Linked DNA regions of Ovis aries. The protein of the gene in region 4 interacts with the protein of the main gene of each other region in a pairwise test. Links are inferred from orthologs where the notes say so. Each region holds a gene or a part of one and is shown on either strand. Other genes may lie near its edges.

Region 1 (4,885 bases), on a different chromosome or scaffold from region 4:
ATGGAATTACAGATTTTTCAAAGACCTAAAACTGAGGAGAAGATGGACGAAGTCAAAGGAGTCTTGGGTTCTAGTCCTGCAAAAGTAGAATGAAGCAGCTGAATGGACAAAATTCCCACATGTAGTCTATGCAAATTGAAAAAAAAGGAGAAAGAGTAGATATTTCAATCTTTTCCTGTTAAAAAATAATATCCTCAATCCCAGGCCCAAATCTTCTTTAATTAAAAACATTATCGGTCATAGAACGCAAAGCTAGATCTTAATTAGTAAATACTCCCTGTTCTTCTGTGGATTAGGACCTGAGTTTTTTCAAAAAGCCTAATTTAAGAGGTCAAACCATTTAAATCAGTAGGAGTTAATAATGAATAGGGCTGTCAGTAAGTTTCTCCTTTATTTCACACTAGTGGCAAAAAACTTCCTTGGGAATTGATGCTACACATTTTCATCGGATGAGCCCTAACGGTAGGATGAATCCTGATCCAACATTTAGGAGAAATTCAGGACACACTGTTGCCTCCACACATCAGCTGGATGTGTGACTGTGGACCAGTCGGGTCACTGCCCCAGCTTCTGCTTCCTCATTTTGAGGAACGTGTCCTAGATGGTCTGTCCTTCGTTGACCATCCAAACTCGATTCACCCAGAGAGAATGAGCTGCTGAGGAATTTTGTCTTCCAAATAGTTCTGTTTTGTTCTGGGTCTATCATGCTACTTCTATAACTGCTACTGCCCGTAAAGATACTGAAAGTATATGAAAGCATGCCAAGTTTGCGGTTTGAATTCTAAAGGTATTCAACGACTTAACATGATGACTACTTCAAAATGACTGAGCGCTTAGGGTTAAAAAAAAAAGCTCCCAAGATGCTTTCAGTTACAGTTTATAAATGCACCTCAAACCTCACATCAGTTTATCTTCTTGGTGATTAATTCTACTTCCTTGGTGGTTAATTCTCCAAGTATTATTCTATTCCACCTTGAAATATGCTTACTTCACACAAGGGTTAACAAGGACAAAACTGACACTTCAGGCCTTGATCATTGTGTGGGAAACCGTCCCGCGCATCACTGGATACGGAAAGAGCCTCCGTGGCCTCTGCCCACTCTTTGTACCAGCACCACTCCACTCGCACAAGGGGTGGCCACCAAAAACGTCTCTAGATACTGCCCCTGATAACGTCCCAAGAGTGGGGGTGGAGGGAATACCCATGGTAGAAAACCACCAATTTTACAACGCTTCATTTTACACAGCTAACTACCTCCGCCAAGGTCTCTTTCCACAGCCCCAAACCACCTTAAGAAGAGTGGCTAGCCTAGGTTAGCAGGCTGAAACTGCTTCTTGGCGGCGAAAGAACAGACCAAAGATCTTCAGAGGCCCTTCGCCGCCAGAGCTTGATCAAGAGTGTGGAAAGGCAAACACAAGCGTGGCCACGAACTCCATCAGAGACTACCTCTATTATCTTCACCGTGAGCTACGTGCATTCGAAAGGAAGCACAAGCGTTTCTGAAATAAGCACGCTGTGAAACAGACAGGTGGACACCATCAAGAGGCAGCAAGTCTCTGGGCGTTCTCATTCAAGACTGGGACAACCCTGGGCAGCTCCGACCGGGCCTCCGGGTGCGGGGTGCGGGCGCCCAGCTCCCGCCACGCCCACCCGACGTCACCCGTTACACAACGCCCTCCACCACCCCCACCCACCCCGGCTTATGCAATTCTGCCTCCCGCGGCTTCCAATTGCCCCGGTGACTTTTGCGGGAGACCAAGGTATATACGTTGCACGCCCATCCTCGGCTGGGGATCCACTTCCCCGCCCCGGCAAGGAGTCTCCCCGCGGCGGACCCGGCCCGGGCGGCCAATTACCGGAAAGAGCGCGGCAGGAAGCGAGCCGACGCTCAGGCTCGCCCAACACCCTCCCCATCCCGCGCTCGCGCGGCCTCGCCCGGCCACCCGCTCCGCGCCGCTCCACTCGGGGCGCGCCCGCCACAGCGCCAGGCCGAGGCGTAGGAAACCCCGCGCCGCGTCACAGTCGGCTCGAGGGCGATCCCCATTGTGACCGAAGCACCTCGGGGCGCCGCCCCTTCCCACACACACCCCCCAAAACACACACAACCCGGGACCCCAAGACGCAAGCCCTGGGAGGCAGCTGGCCTGGGGCGCAGACGAGCTTGGGGCCGCCCCGCGCGTTGGGAAGGAAGGGTGCGGTCGCGGGGCCCGCGCGCTCACCTGCTCGCAGCTCCTCGCAGGCGGCGGCCAGGGCCTCCCGGTAGCGCCCCTGGTGCAGCAGCTCCCCGAGCCGGCCGGCCGCCCGGGCTCGCTCCCGCTGGCCCGGGAACCACTTTTCGGCCAGGTGGTTGAGAACGACGCTGGTCCTGAAGCCGGAGGAGGCGGTGGCGGTGGCGGTGGCGGTGGCGGCGGCGGCCGGAGGCGGCCGCGGGGAGGTCCCCGGGGCATCGGCAGCCGCGGCGGGCGGCAGCCGGTCCCGGCAGAGGCGGCAGCGCGCGCGGAGCTCTCTCCGCAGGCAGCGGCGGCAGTAGCTGTGGCCACAGGGCACGGTCACCGGCTCGCTGAGGAAGCCCCGGCAGCCCAGGCAGCTAAGCAGCCCGCCGGCGCTAACGCCGCGGTGGGCGCCCCCCGCCGGACTCGCGCTCCAGCCCAAACCGTGGCGGAGCCGGTAGTTGAACACCAGGCAGTCAACCAGGGTGCCGAGGCACTCGGGCCTGACCGGGGCCCCGCGGCGCAGCGCCGCCGCGTACGCCTCCAGCGCGCCCTTCAGGTGGCCGCCCAGCGCCAGCAGCTCGCCCCGGCGGAGCAGCAGCTCCCAGCGCTCCGACTCCGCGGCGGCGCGCTCCAGCCGGTCGCCGCCGCCGCCGCCGCCCACTTCCCAAAACCGGCCCTGCCTCTGCGGCCGCGAGTCCACCTCCTGGCTCCCTCCCGGGGAGCTCCTCGCTACGGCCGGGGAAGACATGGCCCGCGGACGGCTGCTCTGCCGCCGCCCGCCGCCACGGTCCCCGAGCCTCCGGGGCGCGCGGCTCCGCACGCGGCCCGCGAGCAGGGGGGCGTGGCGCGCGGACACGGCGGGGCGGCGCGCGCCCGGGAAGCCCCGAGGGCGGGGCGCGGCGGGCGCGGGGCGGGGACGGGCTGCGCGGCGGCGCCCGGGACTCCCCCGCACGGCCCGCGGCCGGGTCCCGGAGGAGGCGACCGCCGGCCCCGCCCCTGTCGAAGCCCCTCCCGGCGGGAGGCGCGAGGTCAGATGATCCCCCGGCGGGGATCTAATTGGCTTCTCCGGAAAGAGGGGCCTGGCTTGTAACTGAACAAAGCACGGAGGAGCCCGAGGCTCCATCCCCCACCTGATTGCTCCGCGGGGCCCTCACCCCCACCCCTAGTCATAGATTCTCCCCTAACCCCTTCTTCGCTGGCACTTCTCCGCCCGGCAGCCGGCCTCGCTGGGCTGAGGCCCAAATCACCATCCCTCTCCTGACATAAACACCCACCTAAGTTGGGACCCGCCCCCCCGTTCCTGTCCCCTGGGATCTTCCCAGTGTAGTTTACCACCGGTCCGGTGCTCATCTGCATTTTTACTGGTTTATGCCCAACTTCCCTGGTGGCTCAGAGGTTAAAGCGTCCGCCTGCAATGCAGGAGACCTGGGTTTCGATCCCTGGGTCGGGAAGATCCCCTGGAGAAGGAAATGGCAACCCACTCCAATATTCTTGCCTGCAGAATCCCATGGACAGAGCAGCCTGGTGGGCTACAGTCCACGGGGTCGCAAAGAGTCGGACACGACTGAGCGACTTTACTTTCATGCCCAACTTACAGATGGACACGTAGAGGCCGAGGTCTCAGGGAAGCGCACAGTCAGTGGGACGACTTTGTGACTCCCTAAGTCTAGAGCAGGTCAACTTTAGGAACGAAATGTGGCTCAGATGGTAAAGAAATCTGCCTGCAATGCGGTAGACCTGGGTTCCATCCCTGAGTCGGGAAGAGCTCCCCTGGAGAAGGGCATGGCAACCCACTCCAGTATTCTTGCCTGGAGAATTCCATGGACAAAGGAGCCTGATTGGCTATAGCCCATGGGGTCGCAAAGTCAGACACTGAGCAACTAACATTCTACGCACACACTACCTACCTGACATGACTCCCTGAAGAGTGTAAGACAATTTTGCTTGGTGCCAAATTACTGCTGCTTTTCTAGTTTAAAACTCAGTCCCCCATCTCGAGGGAGGAAGCCCACAGGTTCCTCTCCACAGTTTATTTACTACTGCACAACTGGCTAAGGCCTACATTTGGCATTTTTTAAAGAGAAAACGCCAGGATGGATGTTTTTCACGAGGCAGTTACCATATCACTGCAACCCAAGCAAGGTCTGCAGTTTTGCCCACAGGAGAAGGAAAATGATCTGGTTTTTGTATAATGGGTTATCTTTCCTTGAAACTTGGTGGCAACCAGTTTAAAGCTCTCTGTTGAAAGTATTGATAGATTTGATTGTAGGGTACTAAATTGTTAGGGGCTTCCCTGGTGGCCCAGGCAGTAAAGAATCCACCTACAATGTGGGAGACCTGGGTTGGATCCCTGGGTGGGCAAGATCCCCTGTAGGAGGTTACGGCAACCCGCTCCAGTATTCTTGCCTGGAGAATCCCCACAGACAGAGGAACCTGGTGGGCTACAGTTCACTGGGTCAAAAAGAGTCAGACACTACTATGCAACTAAACACAGCACACAGCATAGATTGTTAAAGCTGTCCTTTTTTCAAAGGTTAGAAACAATGGCCCAGAGAGGGAAAGCTATTTGCCCAAAATCACACAGCTAAAAATATACAAAGGTTTAAAAATCACTCTACTCTTAGTCTGCTATTATTAGATCTTAAATAAAAATATTTCGCATGAGATTTTC
Region 2 (3,441 bases), on a different chromosome or scaffold from region 4:
CCCCCCCACTCTCCCCTAGGACTGGAAGGAGCAGTATATTCACGAGAACTACAGTCGGGCCCTGGAAGGGGAGGGGCTCGTGGAACAGGTGAGCCCCGCTCAGGACCCCGGCCCAAGGGGATGGCCGCTGCCCCTGGGGCCCACCACCTGGATGAGGGGTTCTCCCAGGGTCCTTGCCCAGGTGCCTGGGGGTTTTCTGCTCAGGCAAGACAAAGGCAAGGGCTGAGTTGATAGGCATGCAGCCCCCAGCCCAACATTCATCCCAGTGGTCCTCCCTTGTCCGTTGGGTGTGTTGGTGTATGGGTGAAATGACATTTTTTAAAACGAGGTTGAAAACCACTGTCCCAGAACCCAGGGCTCCAGCAACCGTGCTGTCTGTGCCGAGTTCTGAGCACTGCTCTCACCTTCTCTGGCCGCATCGGTCCCCTTCCTGACTCCCCCGACCAGCCCATCCCCACGCTCAGCTGCCCGTCCCTCCACGTTCTCTCCTGTCCTGGCTTACCTTTCTGCTCCCTGCTTTCTGTCTCCTCCCACTGGCTGCCTGTCCCCTTCTGGAGCATCACCCAGCCCTGTTTTCTTCTTCCCCTGCCCCGTCCTGACTCAGCCCTGCCCAGACGTGTACTGGTTTCCTCTCCTGTCTGAGCAAATGTGCGATGAGCTGGTGGAGGAAATGGAACACTACGGCCAGTGGTCAGGAGGCCGGCATGAGGTGAGGGGCCTGGACCGCGGAGGAGGGGGCCCCCAGGAGGAGGGAGGGGGCATTTCCCTGATTGAGGGAAAATGGAATCTGGAGAGTGGGAACAGAGAGGGGGTCCCCGAGCAGGAAAAGGCAGACAGGGGGCACCTCTGTATTCTTTCATTCCACCGTGCATTCAAGAAATACTCCCTGGGCAGGTCCTTAGACACCAGCCCCTGACCTGGACGTGCAGGTGGAGCTCTGCCCTCCACAGCCCCACCTGCCGTCAGTAGCAGCAGGGAGCTAGCTTCTGAAGTCTGTGATGGACAGCCTCAGTGCTGCGGGAGTCACAGGTGGGAAACTTGACCCAGATGCGGGGGGACCGAGGGCTTCACAGAAGAGGTGACATCTTCGCTGAGACTTAGAGGAAGGAGGTGTGAGTCAGCTAAGACGTGGCGGAGACTTCCAGAAGGAGGGAGCGCAGACTTCCAAGGCCTGGGAGCAAGAGGAGGAGAAGTTGGCACCACTGCGTCAGCTCTGTACCCACAGGACTCTAGGCTGGCGGGAGGCTACGAGAACGTGCCCACTGTGGACATCCACATGAAACAGGTGGGCTACGAGGACCAGTGGCTACAGCTCCTGAGGACGTATGTGGGACCCATGACCGAGAGCCTGTTCCCCGGCTACCACACCAAGGTGGGCCACTGCACGCCACCCCTGCTCCCTCCTCCGCCTTCCCACACCTGTGCTGGCTGGACGGCTCCACACAATGCCTTTTGGCCTGTGAAACATTTAAATAGGCCCCATAGAGTGAGATCCGGGCTCCCCTGGTGGCTCAGATGGTAAAGAAGCCGCTTGTGATGCAGGAGACCTGGGTGGATCCCTGGGTCGGGTGGATCCCTGGGTCGGGAAGATCCCCTGGAGGCGAGCACGGCAGCCCACTCCAGTGTTCTTGTCTGGAGAATCCCATGGACAGAGGAGCCTGGCAGGCTGCAGTCCATGGGGTCGCAAAGAGTCAAACACACAGAGTGAGACCTTGCAGGAGGGAAGCTCTGGGGGAGCAGCCCCCAGGGAGCAGTGAGAACCCTCCCGGCCATCCCCCCAGCCTCTCCTCCCCTGTGCCCGCAGACCCGGGCGGTGATGAACTTCGTGGTCCGCTACCGACCGGATGAGCAGCCCTCTCTGCGGCCGCATCACGACTCATCCACCTTCACCCTCAATGTCGCCCTCAACCACAAGGGCCTGGATTATGAGGTGAGTCCCTACCCTCCACTCAGGGTTCCCCCGGGCCCCTCCACACACACAGACACACACGCACTCCCCTCCCCCAGGCCCTGTGTCCAGCCCCCTCACAGGCACGGTCACCTCCCTGCCCCTTGTCTGCCCTCGTCACATCTCCCAGTGACCTCTGGGGTCATATTCTGGACCCCTTCTGGGCTGGCTACCCCCTGTGTCCTGTGTCCCCCATCTGCCGATGCTCACCCCTCTTGTCCCCTCCCTCCCTGATGCCCAGTTTGGCCTCTCTCGCCTCGGGGCAGCTCACCACCCAGTCCCCACGTCTGCGCACTCTCCAGCCCCTTCCCCTCTCGTCTCTCCAGGGAGGTGGATGCCGCTTCCTGCGCTACGACTGTGTGATCTCGTCCCCCAGGAAGGGCTGGGGGCTCCTGCACCCGGGCCGTCTCACCCACTACCATGAGGGGCTGCCCACCACTCGGGGCACCCGCTACATCATGGTGTCCTTTGTCGACCCCTGACACTCAGCCACTCTGCCCAGCCTTCCGTGCCATCGTGCCTTCCCGCGCCCTGCCTCCTGGGGCGGGGTGGGTGTGGACTCCTCGCCTCCTGGGTATATGGGGTCTGTGTGCCTGGGACTGAATGTGTCGCCTCGCTGCCCACCACACGGCCCTCAGGAAGCTCAGGGAGCCCCCTGTCCTGTTCCCCGGTCCCCAAGGGCTCATGGGGACAGGACCTCTGGGGGTTCGCTACATGATAAATTATTGTTTCTCAGTCTCCCTCTCAATAAAGGAGGGTTTGTAATTCTTGAGCCCATTTATTGTTTCATTACCTGTGGACCCCTTGTCCATCCCACCACCCAGGGCAGAGGGGACACCGAGGGTGACCCCAAAGGAGAACTGAAAAGGAGAAATGACAGAAACGTGATATTAGAGCAGAGTGGGAATCTAGAAGCTTCCTTGTCATTCCAGAGCTCGGGAGGGGTGTGTTGGAGGCCAGACCCAGAGAAGGACTTCCCCTGTCAGGATGAGATGAGAGGCCCCCACTCCCGCACAGCCCCCAAACTGTCGTCCCCTATTCTCTCCTCACCTGATGGCATCTTCTCCCATGCAGAAAGGATGAGAGAGGCACAGCCCTGAGCTAGGGTCCAGGGATAGTGCTGGGACACGCATTGTAGGAGGGAAGACAGGGTGGAAACTTATTGAGAGCGCTTGGACCTCAGCTTTTAGTCACATGGTATCAGGAGAGGGGAATCTGGAGGGTGAACCCAAGAAAGCTTCCTGGAAGAAGGGGAAGGGAAGCAGCCTTGAAAAAAAAAAAAAGACCTCCTAGAGCTGGTTTTGCCTCTAGTCTCAAGCATCAAAAGCTTGCAGAGACCCCTGGAGGTACCCTGAGGACAGCAGAGCAGGCCCCTTTAGCCTGGTCCTCCCCAGCCTTACACCAGCTGCCTTCCTGTGTTGATCTCCCAATGTTCCCTGGCGGACGCCTTTTAAAAATCAAGCACCTGTCCTAGGACATTTCCAGCTTCTAAC
Region 3 (3,106 bases), about 13 Mb from region 4:
CTGTTCAACTATTACAACTCTTGAATAGTTCGGTGAAGAACTGCTGCTACCGGGGCCCAAGATACCCCTCTGCCGAGGCCCCACGAATTAATGCGGGTCAGGCAGAGCCCAGGGACCACAGGCCAAGGCTGCAGCTACTTCTTTCGTGGTCCCTGTCATTAGCTACCATGACTAGCTGCTCCTTGGCCTGGACACCTTTGCCATCTGCCTCAAGAGACCCCTACCCATCAGTAAAAACACCCCCCATACCTGCCGGAGACAGGGGGCGCCGTGAAACTCCTCGAGTGTGGGAGCGGCGCCTGGCTGGGGGCCCCGTACAGTGCCTGGCCCACCTCATAGCAGCGGGCATGAAGGAAGGGCGGGTGCTGCGGGCCCATGTGAGGGAGCCCAGGCCGGCGCTGGGGCCCCGAGGCCAGTCCCGAGTTCCGGATGTACCAGTCCCGCAGCCCCTCCAGGGCAAGGTTCTTGTGGCCGCTGCGCTCACCGGCCGAGGGGATACGGGCGGGTGGGGGCATCCACAGTAGAGGGTTGGGATGCGCCTCCAGGCCCTCAGCGGCCTCCAGGGGCAGACCACAGGGCTTGGTGCGGGGGGCACGGCTATGGGGGTCCTTGCTGCGGAGGAGGGGGCTGCTGCCATCAGCTGCATACACAGGCGGTGGGCCTGGGAGCATGGCGACGAGCCCATCGCGGCGGGAGAGGGGTCCTGGAACCTCAGCTGCCGGCAACAGCTCCCCCCAGCCTGTCCCGCTGCCCCCACGGGGCAGGCCCCGGTCCAGGGAATAGTCCAAGAGGAAGTCCCCACACACGGGTGGGAGCCGGGGGGGCCCGCGGGAGGCCGGCGCGGCTGAGCTGGGCCGGGCAGCCCGGGGAGGGTCTGGGAGGCCAGCCGTGCGGGAGGAAAAGGCAGGGGTTGGCTGGGGGCGCTCATATAGCACCTCACTGCTCTTGCAGACTGGGGGACCGGTGGCAGGGGGAACCAGAGGTGCGGGCGGGGACCCAGCTCCCCCACCCGCTGCCCGGTCCACCAACAGGGCCTCGGAGCTATTGCTGCGGCGGGTGCGAGCTGCGAAGAGGGAGGTGCGGTCGGAGACAGGGTCCACCCGCGGGAAGCCCATCTGGGAGTCCTGGCTGCTGGACCACTGGCGAGAATGGAGGCCTTCGGGTCTAGGGGCACAGAGGTGGGGGTGATGGGAGAAGGGTCAGAAATATCAGGCAGATGGGATAAGCTCGCTCCGCAACCCCTCCCCCAACACACGCCTCTCTCTGGGCCTTCATTTTCACACTCCAAAATGGGCCCCGGACTAGAAATGGGGTGTAAAGGCGTTAGGGAGTGGCACATTAAGAGCAGCAGAGGCCCTAGCCAGGACTGGGGAGCAGAGGGGTTGAAAATGTATGGGGTGCCTGGGGCTGTTAAGCTCCGAGGGAGATGGAAGCAAGGGACTCCAGAGGAAATGCTAGCAGGGGAGGTCACTATTCATAGAATGCAAGCGTCACAAGGATGGGGACTTTTGTTCACAGCCTGGAAAAAGTAGGCACTTGGTAAGTACGTATTTGTTTAAGGACTAGGAGACTACCATGGTTAAAAGCATGGACTCTTGAGTCAAATTTGTCTGGGTTCAAATACCAGGTCTTTGGTTTACCAACAAGTTAGTTAACCTGTGTCTCGGGTTTCTTATCTCTAAAATGAGAATAACGGCATCTACCTCATAGGGATGTTGTGATAACTAAATGAGTTTGATACCAAGTACTGATTCCTAGCAGATGGTAGGTATGCAGCACATGTTAACCAGAACTCATTTATGCCTACAGCCTCTTCCAGAGACAGATATTGATATGCCTGTTTTACAAATGAGGAGACCAAGATTCAGAGAAGGGAAATGACTTGCCCAAAATGCACAGAAAAGCCCATACTCAAACTTCAATGCTTCTGCCCCAAATCCCCACCCTCTTTCTCCAAGGCGGGGGTTGGCTGGGGGTGCTCATATAGCACCAAGACAACTCCTATTCAACTTTCAAGGCTCAGCCTTTCTTTTCTTTTTTTGGTCAATTAAAAAATTTATTTATAATGTGATATTACACATACATTATGTATGGCATATTTCAAAATATATTTTACCTATATTTCTTTATCATGTAATAGGATGCATTATGAACAAAAGTTCTAAAGCATAAATAAAATTCTTGCTTCTTCATACAACTTACACAGAAAATCAGAATAAAACTGATGGATTCAAAGCTCAGTCTTTCATGTCCTACACTCTTGGAATCCAAATACTCTCCCCAGTACCCCCTGTTAGAACTACCAGTTCCCTCCTCTGGTCCTCAAACTCACCCTTAGAGTCCACTTACTTGCAGAGCTGGGGGCCAGCGCCCCGGGTGAGGACGGGAGTAGCAGGCACACTTCGCCCCTCAAAACTGGAGGCACTCCTGGGCAGTGAGCGTGTAGGGCTAGACAGAGACATGCGGGCCCAGGGTGGGGGCGGGGGCCAGGTTAGAGACCGTACCTCCCAGCAGGTCCTCCTGCCCACCCAGGCTCAGCCCCCACTCCTGGCTGTGCGGAAGGAGTGGAGGGGCTCACCCTCACCTGGTGGGGCTGGCCACAGAGTTTCGCCGGCCCTTCAGATCCCCATAAAGATCTGATGGGGGTGGTTTCCATGGGGTTCGCCGCTCAGGGCTGCCCCCAGAGACTGCCCGCAGCTGGTCCCAGGCCTTGGGCGGTGAGGGGCGCTCAGCCAGAGGGAAGCAGCCACGGGGCTCCTCTGAGCAGAAGGGAGAAAATGGTGAAGGGGGGATTCAATGGGAGGGTTGTGGACAAAGCCAAGGGCAGGGGCTAGGGAGGTGCAGAGGGCTAAGCAGGGTAGGACAGGTAGAGGAGGAACCAAGGGAGGCAGGCAGGAACTGGGGCTGATGGGAGAGACAGGGGAGAGGGTGGTGAAGTGAAGAAGGTGGGAGCTCCACCAGAGGATGGGGTGTGGCTGAAGAGGGAGGGCAGGGGCGATGCAGAGCACGGGAGAATTTAGGGGACAAGGGTTCTCACCATTATCGTGGCTGGCCCCAGACTCTGAGAGGGAGCTGCTCTCTGAGTGCAGAACCACATCCTCTACAG
Region 4 (4,220 bases):
TACAGCTCCTCAGCCTTGATATATTCTGAGAATTCACTTTTAAAGACTTCTTGTCCAGGCTTCTTAACACGAACTCTTTTTAAGAACATCCCTCCAGTATACCCTGTAGAAAAGGAGAAAAGAAGTTAATGAGTAGGTTTTGTTTCTCAAAGAACCAGACAACTTGCCTTTAGAGATACTTCATGCTCAGACACAGACCACAGCTGTGAACTTGTGAACTCATACTATGTATAGTCAGTCTTTAAGGGAAGAAGAATGAGGCAGTGGATGAGAAATGAGACTTCTAGGTGAGTGTGTAAGGAAGAAAAGTGGCATGGCATTCCAGCCTTTTCTTTCTCCATCTTCTCCCTTCCCAATCCAAACACTTAAACATTTAGCGAGGACTTGGTCTATGTCCAGAAGCATCCTGGAAACTGAGACAACAGGAACATCTTCTCAGCCTGCCTGAACTGTATCAGGTAAAAAATTTCTCACCTGAGTTTATTTCCACCTATTTGTCCCAGATGATGTCTTATACACATCTTCTGACATACAGATGAAACGTAAAGATGCCCCATTTCTGGAAAGGTGTTACTTAATTGAAGATAACTATAGGAGTTCCTTTAACTCTTTGTTTCTACAGGCAAAATATTTAAATAATGCTCCATTCTTTTTTTTTTTTTTTTTTTTTTTACTTCTCAGAATTCTCATCATTTCCTCTGCCCTTTTCTTGGCATTGTTTGGGTTTTGGCAAGCAGTGACCAGAGCTGAATGTGGGACTCCACTATCTTCTAACTGATACCAAACTGAAATCTCCAACCCTGTGGATATATCCTGGGACCAGGTGAGCTCTGGGGAGCAGCTTCCTGACGCTTTTACCACATTCAGAAACCAGAGGTGGTGGAAAGACATAGGCTTTGTAGCCAAAGAGAGCTGGAGTCCATCCTGGTTCTGTCGCTTGCTTGCTGGATGATCTTTAGGAGTCATTTAATCTCTCTGAGCCCCTCCAAATTCTTGCTGGTAAATGGGAATAATATTTGTGGGGGGCTATGAAAATGTACTTCTCAGATTGCTGGCTGTGGGGAACATAGTTGACAGAAGGCTCCAACTGCTATGTTCTGCAATCTATCCTCAGATTTGTGCCAAGGTCATGCTTCCCACAGGCTGCTGCCAACGCATGACTGAGCAAGGTAGGCAGACTAAGGCAGGCAAGATGGGAGCTCCTCGCACTGGTGACTCTGGCTCCAGAACGCCCAGTCAGCCTTGCCAAAATTTTAAGACTTTCACTGTGGTCTAAGACCTTCCCTTTTCCTCTTTCCTCTGTCCTTCACAGGAGTCACACACACACTGCAGTCTGACAGTGCTCCTGGCCTCTTCTGGCTCCTGCCATGTCTTCCCTCACCCGCCATCTCCCTAATAAATCTCTTGTACCTCATCCTGGGCTTTGCCTCTTAAGGACCTAGATTAACACAAGACTTAACCTCATAAAAGTCTTATAAGGATAACAGGAGGTACTCAGCCAGGGCTGTTGTTATTACCAGCAAGCTTCTAGTTGACTGCTATCACCCTGTTTTATGAATGCTGCAATTTGTTTAGCCATATCATCCCTACTCTAGATGTACAGAGGTGATTTTTTGACTTTCAGGAGCATGACTTTATAGGCATCCCTATTTGACTTCATATTTTAAGGTCCATTATTCATATCTGTATAAGTGGAGCCTGACTTACTTATACAAATTATTCGTGATTCATTGTGTACTGAGCGGCTCCTACCAGCTCATAAGGGCTGATAGTTTAATGTTCAGAGATTTGGAAAGCCAGTTGTTAGACTGTTGGTTGCTTGAAATTAGCCATGGTTTGGGTATTTACATCATGGAAATTGACAAACGGTACAAAATAGAGCTTTTAAATTTTTTTCAGAGAGCCGGTTAACCAGTACACCACTGACTATTCTTCCCAAAAGTGTATCTTCAGCATTGATAAAAATTTTAAACATGTTGAGACAAAGGATAGAGCCCTACAGTTCCATAATTTGCTAAGTCAAAATCAATAGCTTTCCTCAGCAATGGCCACCCTATCAGTGCACTGCAGCAAGGCCATCCCATGGGCCTTGGTGCTGGAACCTTGGCACCAGCCTCAACAGCCAGAGGGAAATAGACTCTGAAGATTAAATTTGTTAATCGGGGATTCTTGTCTTATTTTGTAAGTGATATTATCACAAATACAGATTTTATTCTTGTCTTGCTAGCTGTACACAGAATTTGTGGCAGCCAGACCATGATTTTGAAGCCACTGGATTCCACAGAGGTGCCTCAGAGACCACAGAGGAAGTGGGGACAGTGTCAAAAAGGAGGTGTCCTGAATCCCCCAGTCCTCAGCCAACCAAAACTACTCCTCTTTTACCATTTTATATGTCTGGGTTCCCATTTAAGAGGTCTTTGTAAAATGAACTTTTAGTGGTTAAAGAAAAAGAAAGAAAGCCACTCTTTTAGATCATAGGCTACAAAAATGAGATTATATTATATAACTTTCAACATGAAGAGACAGTTCACTGTTCTGAGGAAATTGCTATGGGTAGTATGTCTCTTACCTGAATTCCTCTCTACGGGTTCAAACACTGAAATTGTGTCATCACGGAGAAAATATGAAATAACAAACATCCTTTCCGCATCAGCACATTTGTGTGTGATTAGTTTTGCAAAAAATCGGAGTATATTGCTTATGTTGCCATAGCTAAATGGAAGAAAAATTGAAGGTTATAGCATTATATAAGTAATCTTTTGCATATTACATATGTAAAAAATCCTGCAAAATATATGCCATTTTTATTGATATATAATATTAGTTTCAGGTGTATGACACAACGATCTGATATTTGTATATATTGCAAGATGACCAACACAGTTAAGTCTGGTTTACACTCATCACCACACTTAGCTACAAAAATTTTTTTCTTGTGATGATAGCTTTTAAGATCTATTCTCTCAACAACTTTGAAATATGTACTATAGTATTATTAACTACAGTCACCATGCTATATATCACATTCCTGTGACTTATTTATTTTATAACTGAAAGTGTATACTCTTGACCCCTTTTACCCACCTCCCATCCAAGTGCACTATGGTTTTAAGACAGGGGCATAAACTCTCAGAGGTTGGAAAAAAAAGTTCAACCATTTTCTTATTAGGGCTCTAAATCTATATGCAGAGACATATTCCCAGTTTATTAAAATATCTCTTATTCTTTCAAAGTTCTCTTTCAAAGAGTTCTAAACACTCTTTTTATCACAATAGACCCAGCACTCAGAAAACATTTAGCATTTTCCCTGCTTGTGATCATACCACCTAGACTGTTCAGTCTGGCTTTCTGGGCCATTAATAGTCTGGGTTCACACACACACACACACACACACACACACACACACCCATTTGTCCAGGTTAACACAGGGGAAAACGTCCAGGGTAACACATTGGGAAAACGTACCCAAAACAAATGTCATAAACACATTGCTCAAACCATCTGCATTAAATGGCTGTTCTCTGCTCACAAGTTGGACAATAATCACAGCAACCATGTCAGCTAGAAGCACTGCGCCTGGGCCTTGCTGCGCCAGGAGGCAAGAGTTTGTGCTTTGCCAGTGCCTGAAGCAACCTCCCCACTTCACTGCCCACTTTCTCAAGCCCATTCCTTATTTTTCCTCCAACCTCACATCGTCTCCTTGCCAAGTCACTCTCCCAGTTCCCCAGCAGCCCCCTAACTCCCTTCAAGGGAAAATTTCCCTTTTCCCTTTTAAATGCTATATTAAATATGACAGACCTTTCATAACACTTATCACCCATATCATAAGTTGCTGTTACAAGTCTCTTTTCTGAGGGCAAGGACTGCATCTTATTAATCGTTGTCTAATACAACATTTTTTTTTGAATTCTAAGTACTTAATGTATGTTTGTAGAAAGTTGTTATAAGATCCATGTAGATTGGAATTTGCACTTAGAATTCTATGTGTGAATAGAATAGTCTTGAAGACTGATGATGAGATCAAATTCTAGAACCTAAAGTTCCCCAAATTGACTGCCTGGTTATGGAATAAATTAATTTATGGTGTGTCAGCAGAAGTATGTCTGTGGATATTAGCTAGTGAAAGGTGGTGCTGTGCTATGCTTAGTCACTCAGTTGTCTCCAACTCTTCGCAACCCCACAGACTGTAGTCCTCCAGGTTCCTCTATCCATGAGATTTT
Region 5 (4,220 bases), on a different chromosome or scaffold from region 4:
TGTCACCTGTGGGAGGAGGCAAGGTTAGCTAAACACGGGGACCCCACGTTGGCTCTGACCTGGAAAGCAGAATGGGATGAAACAAGGGCCACCCAGCCAGACCCAAGCAAGAGCCCCAATTTCCCCAAAGGTTTTCCATCACCCAACACCCCGGAATCATGCTGAATTAGAGGGGACCCTGGAGGGTGGGGCCAGGAGCCTGTACTTGCACGTGATTGAAGGGATGCCCCAGGCTCAGGGATGTGGGCTGGGTGGGGACCCAGGCCCAGGGAGAGGCAGGGGGCCAGGCAGAGTAGACGGCAGGTCGGGGGATGGGGGTGGGAAACGAGATGGGTTTGTTCTGGGCGCACTGTGTGGAGACACCTCAGAGGCCTGGGGATGGCAACTGGGGCCAAGACAGAGCCTCGCACCCAGCCTGGCCCTACCCCCGGGCCCAGCCCTGACATACAGGGCTGTGGGCGTCTGTGCAGCTCTGCTTCTTCCAAACTGGTAGTCTGGGGGTGTCTCTGTGCTGAGTGGGGGCGCTGTCCTATCTGTCCCACACCACCCCAGCCCTGAGGCTGCCAGTGGGCCCTTCCATAGGCACTGGGGACAGACCCCCATGAAGCTCTGGGGTGGCGGGCCCCTGGCCGCCTGGGCCTGGCACCTAACGGGCAGTGCCCCACATCCTTCCCCTGCACTCTCAGACGAGACAGGCTCACCGGGATGGCTCCCCTGGGCCCCACTTCTCTGTCCTGTTGCCTGCTCCTGACTGTGAGGTGACACAGGCTGGCTCCCACCCTGCGAGCCCTGAGCCTCAGCCCCCATGTCCAGAGGACTCTCAGAGCTCCGGGCAGGGTGGGGGCCCTGGGGGAGTGACTGTACCACCAACTCCCCCGGGTCAACCACAGCCGCATCCACTCATGGGGAGCAGGTTCCTGCCCCAACCCCAGGCTAGCCTTGAAGTTCAGACTCCGTGACCTCAAGCTCCCTGTGGAGCTGGGGCCTTGCTAGAGACCCCTGCCCACACCAGGCTGGCATTGCGAGGACCAGAAAACCCTGCTGCACCTGCTTGGGGTGGGGAGGGGCCTAGCTCAAGAGGCTTGCCCAGGTGCTGCACCTGGCTGGGGGCGGGGAGGGGCCTACCTCAGGAGGCTTGCCCAGGTGTTGGGACAGGACGACGAGGTTGATCAGCGTCTCAGGGTGGCTGCTGTCCTGGCAACAAAGGAGACGGGCAGGGTCAGCTTCTCCAGGCCATTGGATTGGCCCACTCACCCCCAACTCAGACAGGGCTGGGGCTACGAGATGCAGTGTGCCCCGTGACTGGATGCTTGGCCAGGTGGTGAGCTTGGAGCCTTCCCTTCTGCTTCCCCACACCAGCTGCTTTCCCCAGGGGCTTGGTGCTTCCTGAACCAAGGCCTGAACACGGAGACTCCGCTTGCTGCAGTTTCCAAGGGGCCTATTTATCACAAATCTTAAGGTGACAGAGTCTAGGCCAAGGGAGCCTCAACGTATCGCAGCCCAGCGAGCTGGTCCTCCCGCTGCAGCCGTGAGGCCTGAGACCGTGGGGTAGGGCCCGCCCACTCCCCAGGGGACCTGACAGGAAACTGCAGGAAATTACCAGAACCTCCAAGCAGCTGACCTCCCCTCACCCGCCCACACTGGGCGCTGAAGCCCGGGGAATCCTGGGAACGGGCTTGGCTGCTGCCTTGGCCGGGAACCCCAGCCCGAAGGCCCTGATGGGGGGGGCGAGGCAGGGACATGCTGCCCGGGATGTCGCAAGCGCAAGGGGCCGTGGGGACCCTGCCCGCTGGCTGGCACAGGGCACAGCTCCACACGCGCAGCCTGATGACCCCACCACCGCCCTGTGGCCTGTCTCTGCATGGCCAATGGCCTGCCGTGACAGCCTGGCCCCTCACAGAGGGGAAGAGGGAGGGGCTGCCCACTGGCATCAGTTTCTCATTGTATCAAACCCGCCTCAGCTTTCGGTCAGAAGGCAGGCCACTAAGGCGGCCCCCAGCCCCCGCGGGCGGCACGCTCGGGGCCTCCGCTCAGCGAGCACGGGCACAGGCGACACTGTGTGTGTGCTGTGCTCGCTCCTCAGCAGCCAACGGTGGGGGTCTCTCTCAAGCACAGATCCAGGCCAGGGGTCATCACCCTGAAAGGGCCCAGGCCAGGCAGCGGCGGCATCAGTGAGAAGACGAGGCATGTGTCTGCTTAGCTCAGGCCTGGGCTGACGGGATCCTCCCATTTTCAAGAGAAGTCAGAATGAGGACTGCGGTTCACAATCCCGACTTTTAGCTGAGTCAGCCTGAGAATCCCCACCTGGCCAGCAGGCCGGTGTGGGGCCCCTGCCGCACCTGTTTCTGGGGTGGGGCTGGGCCTGCCCCTACCTTGTCCAGCGCCTCCTGCAGCACGCCCTCAGCGGCCTCCCAGCGGCCCTGCGCCATGTGGCAGGCTGCCTGCCCGTTGAGCAGCAGCAGGGTCGGCGAACACTTGTCAGCCATCTCCTGGAAGATGTAGTAGGCGTCCTGGAGCTTCTCACCTCCCTGCCGGGACAGTTGGGACATCACCGCCTTGTCACCCTGCTGCCCTGCCCCAGCCTGCTCCCTCCTGGATGGATCTCAGGGCAGGCACCCTGGGGACGCCGCCCCCTTCCACACAGAGGCCCTTGAGCAGCCTGTGCTGTGAAGGGGCCGAGGCAGTGTCCAGACCCCTCAAACTCGGCTCCCTCAAGCCCTCAGTTTATGGTCTTGAAAGGCTCAGCTTTGAGGAAGAGGAATCAATGCACTGGCAGCTGGGCCAAGGTCTGGGCTGGGACACACGGCCCACCAGCCTCTGTTCCATGGTCGGTCCTGAGCCCGCCCGCCCACATTCTGAATAGCAGGTTCTGTCTGCCTGGGAGAAACACAGTGTCACACTGGCAGGGGAGCCTGACACGGAGATGCACTTGTGAACAATTGCAAGGCTACAGACAGGACTGTTGGGGTGTGTCCCCTGCACTGAATGGATCCTACAGGGTGAGGCCTCAGCCGTGCAAAACGACGTGCAGATGCACGCAGACAAGGAGCACGTTTTAAAAAGCTTGGACAAGAGCGTGAACTCAGAGAAAGGAAGTTAAAAGCCCAAGACAGAAATGGGGCTGCTGCCAGGAGAGGGGAGCCCAGGCATGTGGGGGTAGCGGGGCTAGGCTCGAGGAGGGAGTACGCGAGGGAGGACTCAGGCCCCAGCTTTGTGCCAGGAGCCTGGAGAGCAAGCTGAGCAGCAGCCGAGCCTGGGGCCAGGCCCCAGAGGAGTCTGTGCTGCCAGGCTGGCTCCCCGCACTCGGGTGGGAGTGGGAGAGCGTGCAGGAACAGGCACGCTGAGTCTAGTTCCGAGCCTCCCAGTCGGTTCACCCTGGCTCTGGCCAAGCTACTGGGCTATAGGAAGCCAGAAGGGGTCAAGGCTGAGTGATGGGGAAAATGTCCTGGGCTCTTCCGGGAGACTGGCCCCCAAGAAAGCACGAGGCCCGGGGTGTCCGTGAAGCCCAGCTGCTCCTGCCCCCGTGCTCCCACCCAGGCTGGGCAGGGGCTCACCGCAGCCAGGCTGGCCCAGGCGGTGGCCAGCTGGGTGAGCGTAGCGTCCTCGTCCTGGTCCTGCATCTTCTTCAGCTCCTTCCTGGGGGCGGAGGAGAGGTGCCCAGTGGCTGCGGGGCCCGGCCGCTGTCCCCCACCCCTGCCCGAGCTCCTTGCTCACAAGGCCTTGGCAGCCCCTGTGGCCGCACACGCCTGAAGCCCACCCCCACCCTGCAGGCCGGGCCCCGCTGCCAGCCTCACGGAAGGAAGCTGAGGCACCGGCAGCAACGCCCCTCGCCCCAGGCAGCACCGTGCAGGGCCGGGCAGGCAACCAGTGGTGCCGCCACCCCCGTGGACCAGAACGCACTACATGGAGAAACACTCGCGTTGCTGATGATCTGAGCCAGGGGGCGTGCTCGGGGGGGTCCCCACTGAAGACAGAGGCCCGGTTTCTGGAGAATTCAGGGTCCCAGCACAGCCCGGCCTTTGCTAAGATAGCACCCCCCCCGCCCCCCCGGGCACAGGCCGTCGCCCAGCAGCCCTGGCGGGGCGGGCTTACCGGGCGAGGTCCAGGCGGTCAAGCTTCAGCAGGATCTGCACTGTCATCGCCATGCTGCGGGAAAGGCGTGTGGCCTGTGAACCCTCGCCCCACTGTACCCTCCCACTGGGAGCTCACTCTGTAAGCAC
Region 6 (4,911 bases), on a different chromosome or scaffold from region 4:
TGTGTTGTCTGGCGGGGTACCTTGTCCAGCCAGCCACCCACTTTGACTCCCCCGTAGCTTAGGACACAAGCCAGCTACCAGCGGTACAGAGCAGTGATCAAAGCCGAGTACTTACAACTCCGGTAAGCCCAACTTCTCCGCCTCAACCCTTCTGCCTCTTGGAGGGATACGCTGGGGGTGAGCTGCTTGAGATTCTCGACAGGCTTCTGTAAAAGCTCTTCCTCCTGAAGGCAGATCCAGTCTTGGTGGCTCTCACCCTCCACGCTGGTAAAGCTGCACCTCTCTCGGGGGGACGAGGGGCTACAGGAATCCCTGGAGACCCTGGTGCTTCACGATGCTGCTCCGGTGATTCTTGTACATAATCTGGTGTGTTCACCAATGATTTAAAGGGATCGTGGTCAGGGACGCCAAGAGAGTGGTGGTCACTTCCACTTCAAACCTTCAATGAGGGGGTGGGATGGAGAGAATGCTGAATCTTTTTTTTTTTTTTTTTTCATGGGATAGGATTTTTCTCTTTGTAATTATTTCTTTAGTTTAATTAACCTTTTGGTTGTTTGTGCAATATTATATATTTTAAATTATAATGTATCTCCCCAGAGTATTTTGTAGCTGGGATAAGAAAAAAGGAAAAAAAAAAAAAAAAGACTCTAACAGCTGTTAGTTTTGTAATTAAAAAAGAAAGAAAAAAGAACTTTGTCCTGAACCTTTTCCAGACTTGCCGTTAACAGCTATTAAAGAGATTCAACAGAAGCTGGAAGGTGTCTGGAGCTCTGTTCTTGTCCCTTACAGCAGCTGCCCCAGAGCCAGGGCAAGACAGGGTGTGCAGGGTGCCCTCCTGCTTGGAGCCTGGGGGAGGGGTCAGGATGGGAGGTAGTAGCCTGCGTTCCAAGGAGGTCCCTTGTCTTCATCCCAGACTCACCTTGGCCTTTGGGGTGAGGAAGGGACAGGGCCCCCAGAAGGCCTCTCACCAAGACAAGGAGTCAAGAGGCCGTTTCTGCATTCCCAACGCTTCTGCTTTTATTTGGAAAGGAAGGTGCAACAACAGTGGTTCCAACTGTTCTTGGTTATTTTTCTCTCCTCCCCCTGTATGTGTATGATTCTGGGGTCTATTTTTAAGTAACTTTAGTTAAACACCTGTATGAAAATCACTTGTCAGCCATAATAAAAGGGAAGTCTGAATGAGGCCCTCTGGTTCCATGAAGATCTTTAAAGGGAAAGAGAAGTAAAGCTGGGGAGGGTGTAGGTAAGTTTAGGATAAGTAGACTTAAAGTGTAAAATATAGATATCACCATCTTAGAAGCGGGTTTTTGGGTTTGCTTTCTCCCCCTACTTTATTGGGGAGGACTTGCCATTGCTTTTATGAAGTGCTTGCTAGCCATGGATGCCAACTAACTTCTTCAATTGAAGGCCGGAGAGTCATGTCTGGTTCCAGGAGCCGCTTGAGCAAGTCCTGGCATTCAGCCGAGATGCCCAGATGAGTGGGGAAGGACACCCCCTTCTGCTGCTGCCACAGCATCTTGGGGATGTCTGTGTCGTCAAAAGGCAGGCTGGCACAGAGCATGACGTGCAGGACCACGCCCATGCTCCAGATGTCACCCTTCGTGCTGTCATGCGGGATACCCTGCAGCACTTCGGGGGCGGCATAGGCGGTGCTGCCGCAGAAGGTCTGGCTCAACTCCCGGCGCGATTTGGGCAACACCTTGGCAAAGCCAAAGTCTGTCAGCTTCAGGCTGAAGCCCTGCAACAAGGCGTTCTCACACTTGAGGTCCCGGTGGGCCACACCACAGCCGTGGCAGTAGCGGATGGCCTCGACCATCTGACGGAAGAGGGCCTTGGCCCGGCTCTCAGGCAGTGGCCCCCCATTCAGCACACAGTCAAAGACATCCCCTCCTTCAGCCAGCTCCATCACCAGGTAGATTTTCCCGTCGGCAGACTCCAGCATCTCATACACTTGGATGATGTTCTTGTGGTCCAGGGTACGGACAATCTGGAGCTCCCGAGGCAGGAATCTCTGGATAAACTCTAAGGAAACAAAAGAGATGGAGAGTCAAGTCCAGAAGAGCCTAACTCCTCCCTCTGTCTCTCTGTCTTCCAACTTCTGTCTGCCCACCATGTCTGGGTTGTGGGCCTTGGTTCCCTTTAACAGCCTTCAGTGTCAAACCGCCTGGACACTGCAGAGCGTTCACTTCTGTCTTTGTAGTTAATATATTATTCAAAGGAACTAGTCCGTCAGCCTCAGGGACTGTTGTGAGCAGCCTGTGAGACCATGGATAGCAAAGTCCTGTGGGAACTTTTAGACAAATCTATTGAACTCAGTTATGAGGCCTGATCTGCCCACAGCGTGGTAAGCTAGCCCCTCTCACCTGTGCCCCCTGAGCTGCCGTTCTTTCCATGAGCCCTGTCTTTTCCCCATCTCTCTCCCTTGCATCGGTTCCTGCCCTCTGCTAGCCCTGGCCATGGCCTGACCAATCAGTTGACCTCCTAGAATAAGAAAGGCGTAGTAGGCTCTGACTCTGCTTCTGAGGGTCCTTCACTGCCTGCCATGGCAATCCACTCCAGTACTATTGCCTGGAAAATCCCATGGACAGAGGAGCCTGGCAGGCTACAGGCCAAGGGGTCTCAAAGAGTCGAACACGACTGAGCGACTTCACTCACTGCCTGCCACATTCATTTTGGACTTTCAGAAGGTGTGATTTTCCTAGACTTTCTCTGTTCCCCACTGACTGACCCCAGAGCCACAGCCTCTCTTGCTTTCTTTAGTTTAAGACTAAAGGGGAGGAGGGAATTGATCCTTCTGACTGGAGGAAGCACCCACCCACCTCAGCCAGCCCTCCCTTCCTCCAAAGGGGCCCCAGCTCACCTTCTGGCCCTCCCATCTTGTCTATAATTTTAATTGCCACTTTTCTTTGGTGTTTTTTGGAAACTGCTTCTTTGACTTTTGAGTAGGTCCCTTCCCCAATGGTCTTGCCCAGCTGGTACCCATTGGAGAGCAGAAAGTCCTCCATGCTGTCTAGCACCTCCTTCCTTCCTATCACCCTCTCAGCTCATGCTGCCTCTGCGAGGCAGCGCTACTCCACCATCGCCCTCGGCCCGCTTCTTTTCCCCCCAAGGACTTCATCCGCAGCCGCCCCCAGCGCTACAACATTCTCCGTCCGGACACAGGAGCCGCGGATGGTGGGGAGGGAGAGGGTCAGACATTTTAAAACTCTGGCCCAATTGTGATGTAAATGCTGTGTGACCCTGGGCCAAAATGGGCAATGCCCCTATCTGCCCTCACCACCACCACCACTACCACCGCAAAACCCAGCATGGGTTAAGTCACCTCCGTGCCCCGCCCCCGCGCCAGGCAGTGGGTCGTAGCCCCGCCTGTAGGGGTTGCTGCGATGTCTGCGCTCGGCCCGGGATGCCAGGCTCTGTTCCGTGGACGCCCCCATCGGGCAGCAGGGGGTCTGCGCGACCCATGGCCAGAGCCCTCCAGCTCCCGGCTCGCCACCGCGCTAAGTGCCCGGGCGGCGCGGGGTTCCCCGGCTGGAGGAACGGGTTCTGTGAGGTCAGCGCGCCGCGGCCCGGGTCACAATGCAGCCCGTCCCCTCGACGCCTGGGCCGGGACGCGCCGCAGACACCTGCCCGGCTCCGCCTGGACCGGAGCGTCCTCCCGCGGCCAGGGCTCGGGCAGCTGCTTCCAGCCTGGGACCGGCCTCGGCCTCCGGCAGGTGAGCAACGGCCCGGGGGGCGGGCGCGGGGAGGGGGCTCCCGGCCGCCCGGGAGCGGCCTGACCGCCACTCCCCGCGCAGAGCGCCCCGGGGCCTGGACATGAGTGCCCAGGAGCCCCCGCAGGGTCGGAGATTCCCCATTGAGGCCGGAGACTCCCCTGGCCTTGCCGCCGCCCCCGAGTCCCAGGACAGCCCGGAGCCGGTAGCTACGGAGCACAACCCGGTCAGGTGAGGCCAGCGCCCCTGCCCGCGGCCCCGCCCCTGCCCGCGGCCCCACCCCTGCCGGCTTTCCGTCCCCAGACCAACCCGCACCCGCGGCCGAACCCCTGGGACTGATGCGCCCCCTACAGGATGGGGCCGGCCGCCCCCTCAACGCCCCCCGTCGCGCCCCGCTTTCCGCAGGCCGCTTCGACGCTGCCCCGGCTGCCACTGCCTGACGCTGCTGCACGTGCCCATCGACGTCTACCTGGCCATGGGCGGGAGCCCCCGGGCCCGCGCCACCTGAGCGCGCCTGCGCAAGGCGGCTCCGCGGGAGCCGGGCGGGGACGGGGCCCGCCGCGGGCCACCACGCTGAGGTCGCGCGCGCGCCGAGCACGAGACAATGATGCACATTTTAAAATAAAAGAATGATGCACATTTTAATAAATCACAGCATAAACTGTTCTTTCCACTCCGGCTGGCCGTGTCTGTCTTATCCCGTCGGCTCGGGCCCGCCGGCTGCTCCGCCCCATCCAATATCACCTTTCCCTCCGCTGCTTCCTCCCTTGGGCCCAGCCCCAGGGGCCCGCCCTTCCCTCCGGGTCGGCTTGCTTCTGGCTGGGCACCAAACCCTCCCCTCTTTTTTTTGTTACTGGTCACGACCCCCTCCAGGGCCGTGCTTCTGCTTGGGCACTGCCCTCATCCTTCTCCCTGACACTCCCCTTGGTCTCTCCAGGAAAATCAGCATTACTGTGCTGGACTCTGGGGGCCCAGAAAAGCTTGAGACTGGAGGAGATGGACAGACAACTCAGAATAAAGAGAATGGCCACCTACCCCGGGCCCATTTAATTCTCCAAAGATGGGGTTTGGTTTTTGCTGACTTCTGTTTTGTGACCCTGGGCCTTTCTGGCTTTGTTGGAGGGATTAGGAGCTGCCCCCACCATCTCCACCCCTGGTTTCTCCTAAGGACTGGTGGGGTCAGAGAAAGACTGGGGAAGAA
Region 7 (4,220 bases), on a different chromosome or scaffold from region 4:
GAATTCACTTAAGTGTCTGCTTCTCAGAAAACCCAACTGATATAACTACCCCTAGAAAACTGTTCTAAAAATTTAAAACAATAGCATAGTTCCTGTCTTTTGGTAGCTTCTCAGTTAAAGGTTTGCTTCCTCCACGTGGGATGTATTACAGGGACTGAGTAATACACTTCTATATCTGCTCAGTACTTTAAGCATGGATTCCATGTGTGAGAGAACTTCAGTAGTCAGCAATGTGAAGTTGGACTTCTTTATATAGCATTCCAGACTCTGACCTATCAAAATCATCTGCAGGCAGGTAACCATGTTTGGGTGTGTGAACAGGTGGGTTGGATTGTGACGGAAGGAAACTGGCTTGGGTGCCAGGAAGATCTAAATCTAACCTTAATTTGCTGTGTACCTTAGGGAAATCACTTAACCTGTCTGTCTTCAGTTGACTCAACTATATGATGGGGATGATACTGCTTAATTTACTAATTGTGAGGGTTAGAGATAATCTAGGTAAGGCATCTAGCACAGTGTCTGGCCCATTGTAAGCGTCCAATGTGCTGCCTGTATATCCTGATTCTTACCCTGTAGTCTTATTGCCTCTACATCATTTCATTCATTCAATATTTATTGTGGGTCTACTATGATAGGAACTTGAGACATAACAGTGAAACTGACAGGCACAGATCCTCACAGAGTCTGACAGGTCGGCACATCACAGTACAAAGTACATCCAGAAATTATAACAGAAACATTTAGATGCTGCTTATTACGTGCAAGGTACTGTTCTAAGAGCTTTACTATACATTCACTCACTGAGCCTTTATATCAATCCAACCAGATATCTGCTCAAGATGAGATAACTAGGGATGTGATAGACTTGGGTAGATTTGAACCCAGGCAGTCAGCTTCAGAGTCTATATTTTTAACAGCTACACTGTTGCTTCTCTAAACATCTGAATTAGATTTTATGACTCCACAGATCATGAACAATCCTTACATAAGTATATAACAAAACCTAGTGAATTAAATCAGTAGACAAACACTTATTTCCTTTAGAGAAACATAGGCACAGAAATAGTAAGTCAGCTGAGCAGGTGTAGACACTGGTGACCCACATGGCACAGTTACCATCCCCCAACCTCCCACTTCCTCACTGTTTGCTCGGCTTTGAACTCAGCAGCTGTTCTCTGGCAGTGGCATTAGAAGAAAAATTGTTATAATACAGTTTTTCACCTTACTTAGCCTTGACCTTTTCATCTGCAGTAACCACAGGGCTCTTCTAGTTCTAATAAATTCTCAGTTTTCGGTGTCATAATCTTTTATGCCTATCAGAACTTTCTAGCAGAAAAGTTAAAGTCAAATCGGTGTGTTTTATTTGTTGTTTTCTTTTCATAAAAGCATCCACATGACTGCATTAAGTAGTTTGCTGAGTGTCTGCAAGGCAATCAAGGTGGCAGTAAGGACATTGGACCCCAGACACTTAAGTTCATTTCTTATTACGTGGCAGACATAACCGAGCTTTGCATGTCTGGGTAGCCAAAGTGACAACAGTTTGTTCCAAGAAATCCTTTAGGTTTATGACAACATACCATTATCATGACCATTCTAGAATAAAAATGACAATGCCAATATGATAAAAACCCACCAGCCTCTTCTAACTAGTCAAGAATGATTAAGACCAAAAAAGATGATTGTACTTACAGGGGGGCACTGTGCAAGTTTATCAGCTGCTACCAGTTGAACATTTAAGTGTTTACTTTGAGACTTTCCTCTAGATTTAATCAACCGCTGTAAAACCTGATAGAAGAAGACATGAATCTGAGATACTATCAGTAAGTTGAAAGAAAACCAAGTAAATCAAGACATCTTTTTCAGAGTCTGTTTAACCCTGAGTATTTAATAGGGAGGAAACACAAAATGACAAGTTTTGTATACATGTAAACTCTGTAATGACATCATTCAATTACATTGGCTTTCAGTTATAGTGGATTTGATATGTCCATCCTATTCTTGCTACATGTGAGGTCTTGGTGGGTTCCTAAGTACCCTTCCTAGATTTTATCCAGAGATTTCAAAATGAGCCCTGCAAAAATGGAGGCACTGATCTGTACCAGATCATTTATGTCCAAATTCAGTTGAGTAGCATTTTGGTTCACTATCTTGATGTCTGATCAATATCAGAGTCACTTATATATTTGACTCTCTTTATGTCATTGATAATTATTAAGGCATCCAGTCTAATCTGACATTAACAGGACAATTTCATCTTCGAAATCTAGGCAAAACATTTGCACTGGTATATTGCTACATATAAACCAGTGATATACCTATGTCTTTTGGGACACTGCTGTAATTGCATTTTTCTATCTACTCCTCTTTCCCTTAATTATTTTTTAGCAGAAATAGGATGCTTCCTCAGAAACAGTACTAATCTATGAGGCTCTATGATACCACAGCACATATATCCACGAGGGGACCAGTTCCTGCACTAGTGGACTCCCTGGCAATTGGGGCCAGAAGGTTGAACTCTATTCCGCTGCAGTAAAGGGTGTTTGAATCCCCTTCAGTTCTGGATCAGCAACTCTAAGTGGTCAAAGTCATTTCACTCCATTCTAATGATTGCCCAAAGGTCCTGGCTTGGTCGGGACTCCAGGCTCACCCTGCACAGAACCAGTGCCTGGAGAGATGGAAGTCAGAAGGGTTGGGAAGGGCACATGCTTTCCCTGGGAGAGGAGACTACTGGTCTGGTTCGAAGTCGAATACGCATTTAAGTAAGAAAATGAACTCTTGGAGCCACTGGAAAGAAACTGATTGTTAAGGTAGTACCTCCCAAGGGTATCCAATTCATATTCACTTTTTAGAACATCAAGTTTTTAAAATTTAAAAAATCCAAGTCAAAATGGACCAATTTAAAAATAAATAAATAAATGGGTATATAAAAGTTTGTAAGGGAAAAAAGGGACCGATTTGAGGCTGTCTCACTTTTATTTTTATCTCCCCTATTGGCATAAAGATACATGGCAGATACTCCATTGTGCTTCATCACAGAATAATGATTTTCCTTGAAGGATTCTCCAGGCCAGAATACTGGAGTGGCTAGCCTTTCCCTTCTCCAGGCTAACGTTTCCCTTCTCCAGGGGATCTTCCCAACTCAGGGATCAAACCCAGGTCTCCTGCATTGTAGGCAGACTCTTTACCACCTGAGCCACAGAGGAAGCCCAAGAACACTGGAGTGGGTAGCCTATCCCTTCTCCAGCAGATCTTCCCGACAACCAAACCGGGGTCTCCTGCATTGCAGGTGGATTCTTTACCAGCTGAGCTATCAGGGAAGCCCTGAAGAACCCAACCTAAGCATAAATGCACAGATCTATAAAGTTTCCACCAGAGATGTTATACAGTGATGTTTGGCTTTAGATTTATGGTAAATATATGTGTACTTCTTGAACTATTTTCTCTCTCAGCTGAGGAGATAATATAGGTGATATAAGAATCAATTTTACCTAAGAGATTTACCAAGATAGCACCTAAAATCTCTGAAAAGCCAGACTTAACTTTTTGTCATCTTTCCTGTTTTTTGATTTTTTTTTTTTTTTGCTTTTTATTATATTCTTGCATAACTGCCTGGTTTGGGAACCACACAGACAGTGAGTTTCTTGAAGGAATAAATTATTCTTTATTTGCTATCTCAAAACTTCAAGAACCTGTACAGACCAGGTGAATCAAAAACAGTATTCATTAAAAGGGTCTTAAAAAGACATTTTCCTTGCCACAAACAAAAATGCACAGAGCGAAGAGTGTTTCAAAAGAAACTGACCTTCTAAATCTTAAGACAGAAATGAGCTAATTACCTTTGGAGATGAGACTTTTACATGAACAATAATTGGTGCTAAGGAGGTCTTTATAAGTTGTGCTGGGTGATTGATGGTGTCTGCATCAAGAACAACCAGTTGCAAAGATCTTGCCAACTCAAAGATTCTTTCAATTTCACTTTGCACTTCCGCTAAAAGGAGAAATAACAAATAACAGGTCACGGTATTTTTTATTAATTAGTTCCTATATTTAAAAAATAGTACCTGTTTCAGATATGTTAGCCTACATTGCAAAACAGAATATTTTGAATTTTCATAGTTCTGTCTAACTTAAGATCTTTTCCAAAGAGAGATGGGTTTTGAATTTTACCCAAAACTAAACAGTTGGTGGAAAAAACTGAGATGGTGCACTGGATTTGCTTC

Evidence for each region.
Region 1: the proteins of EFHC2 (region 4) and LONRF1 interact in binary tests that used the Homo sapiens proteins (3 or more experiments, as listed by UniProt). The two-hybrid records come from large-scale screens. The link is inferred for Ovis aries from reciprocal best matches to the Homo sapiens genes EFHC2 and LONRF1.
Region 2: the proteins of EFHC2 (region 4) and PLOD3 interact in binary tests that used the Homo sapiens proteins (3 or more experiments, as listed by UniProt). The link is inferred for Ovis aries from reciprocal best matches to the Homo sapiens genes EFHC2 and PLOD3.
Region 3: the proteins of EFHC2 (region 4) and CCDC120 interact in binary tests that used the Homo sapiens proteins (3 or more experiments, as listed by UniProt). The link is inferred for Ovis aries from reciprocal best matches to the Homo sapiens genes EFHC2 and CCDC120.
Region 5: the proteins of EFHC2 (region 4) and COPE interact in binary tests that used the Homo sapiens proteins (3 or more experiments, as listed by UniProt). The two-hybrid records come from large-scale screens. The link is inferred for Ovis aries from reciprocal best matches to the Homo sapiens genes EFHC2 and COPE.
Region 6: the proteins of EFHC2 (region 4) and TSSK3 interact in binary tests that used the Homo sapiens proteins (3 or more experiments, as listed by UniProt). The two-hybrid records come from large-scale screens. The link is inferred for Ovis aries from reciprocal best matches to the Homo sapiens genes EFHC2 and TSSK3.
Region 7: the proteins of EFHC2 (region 4) and CACNB4 interact in binary tests that used the Homo sapiens proteins (3 or more experiments, as listed by UniProt). The two-hybrid records come from large-scale screens. The link is inferred for Ovis aries from reciprocal best matches to the Homo sapiens genes EFHC2 and CACNB4.

What each region holds. Positions count from the first base shown.
Region 1 is NC_056079.1:23,391,254-23,396,138, reverse strand, and holds the start of LONRF1 (LON peptidase N-terminal domain and RING finger protein 1), read right to left. Parts: upstream 3,016-4,885; 5' UTR 2,963-3,015; coding exon 2,221-2,962; intron 1-2,220.
Region 2 is NC_056077.1:35,921,885-35,925,325, forward strand, and holds the end of PLOD3 (multifunctional procollagen lysine hydroxylase and glycosyltransferase LH3), read left to right. Parts: intron 1-19; coding exon 20-88; intron 89-604; coding exon 605-709; intron 710-1,225; coding exon 1,226-1,372; intron 1,373-1,804; coding exon 1,805-1,930; intron 1,931-2,274; coding exon 2,275-2,430; 3' UTR 2,431-2,720; downstream 2,721-3,441. UniProt on the Homo sapiens protein: Multifunctional enzyme that catalyzes a series of essential post-translational modifications on Lys residues in procollagen. Plays a redundant role in catalyzing the formation of hydroxylysine residues in -Xaa-Lys-Gly- sequences in collagens.
Region 3 is NC_056080.1:56,040,340-56,043,445, forward strand, and holds part of CCDC120 (coiled-coil domain-containing protein 120), read right to left. Parts: intron 3,101-3,106; coding exon 3,038-3,100; intron 2,760-3,037; coding exon 2,585-2,759; intron 2,449-2,584; coding exon 2,350-2,448; intron 1,165-2,349; coding exon 250-1,164; coding exon of another isoform or gene 228-249; exon of another isoform or gene 1-227. UniProt on the Homo sapiens protein: Centriolar protein required for centriole subdistal appendage assembly and microtubule anchoring in interphase cells. Together with CCDC68, cooperate with subdistal appendage components ODF2, NIN and CEP170 for hierarchical subdistal appendage assembly.
Region 4 is NC_056080.1:43,390,536-43,394,755, forward strand, and holds part of EFHC2 (EF-hand domain-containing family member C2), read right to left. Parts: intron 2,713-4,220; coding exon 2,570-2,712; intron 104-2,569; coding exon 1-103. UniProt on the Homo sapiens protein: Microtubule inner protein (MIP) part of the dynein-decorated doublet microtubules (DMTs) in cilia axoneme, which is required for motile cilia beating.
Region 5 is NC_056058.1:4,123,835-4,128,054, reverse strand, and holds part of COPE (coatomer subunit epsilon), read right to left. Parts: intron 4,147-4,220; coding exon 4,093-4,146; intron 3,637-4,092; coding exon 3,555-3,636; intron 2,529-3,554; coding exon 2,373-2,528; intron 1,195-2,372; coding exon 1,126-1,194; intron 7-1,125; coding exon 1-6. UniProt on the Homo sapiens protein: The coatomer is a cytosolic protein complex that binds to dilysine motifs and reversibly associates with Golgi non-clathrin-coated vesicles, which further mediate biosynthetic protein transport from the ER, via the Golgi up to the trans Golgi network.
Region 6 is NC_056055.1:235,203,722-235,208,632, forward strand, and holds TSSK3 (testis-specific serine/threonine-protein kinase 3), read right to left. Parts: upstream 3,103-4,911; 5' UTR 3,006-3,102; coding exon 2,861-3,005; intron 2,023-2,860; coding exon 1,358-2,022; 3' UTR 446-1,357; downstream 1-445. Other genes in the region: protein FAM229A, read left to right, coding at 3,577-3,713, 3,795-3,941, 4,116-4,218. UniProt on the Homo sapiens protein: Serine/threonine protein kinase required for spermatid development and male fertility.
Region 7 is NC_056055.1:157,736,553-157,740,772, reverse strand, and holds part of CACNB4 (voltage-dependent L-type calcium channel subunit beta-4), read right to left. Parts: intron 3,989-4,220; coding exon 3,837-3,988; intron 1,786-3,836; coding exon 1,690-1,785; intron 1-1,689. UniProt on the Homo sapiens protein: The beta subunit of voltage-dependent calcium channels contributes to the function of the calcium channel by increasing peak calcium current, shifting the voltage dependencies of activation and inactivation, modulating G protein inhibition and controlling the alpha-1 subunit membrane targeting.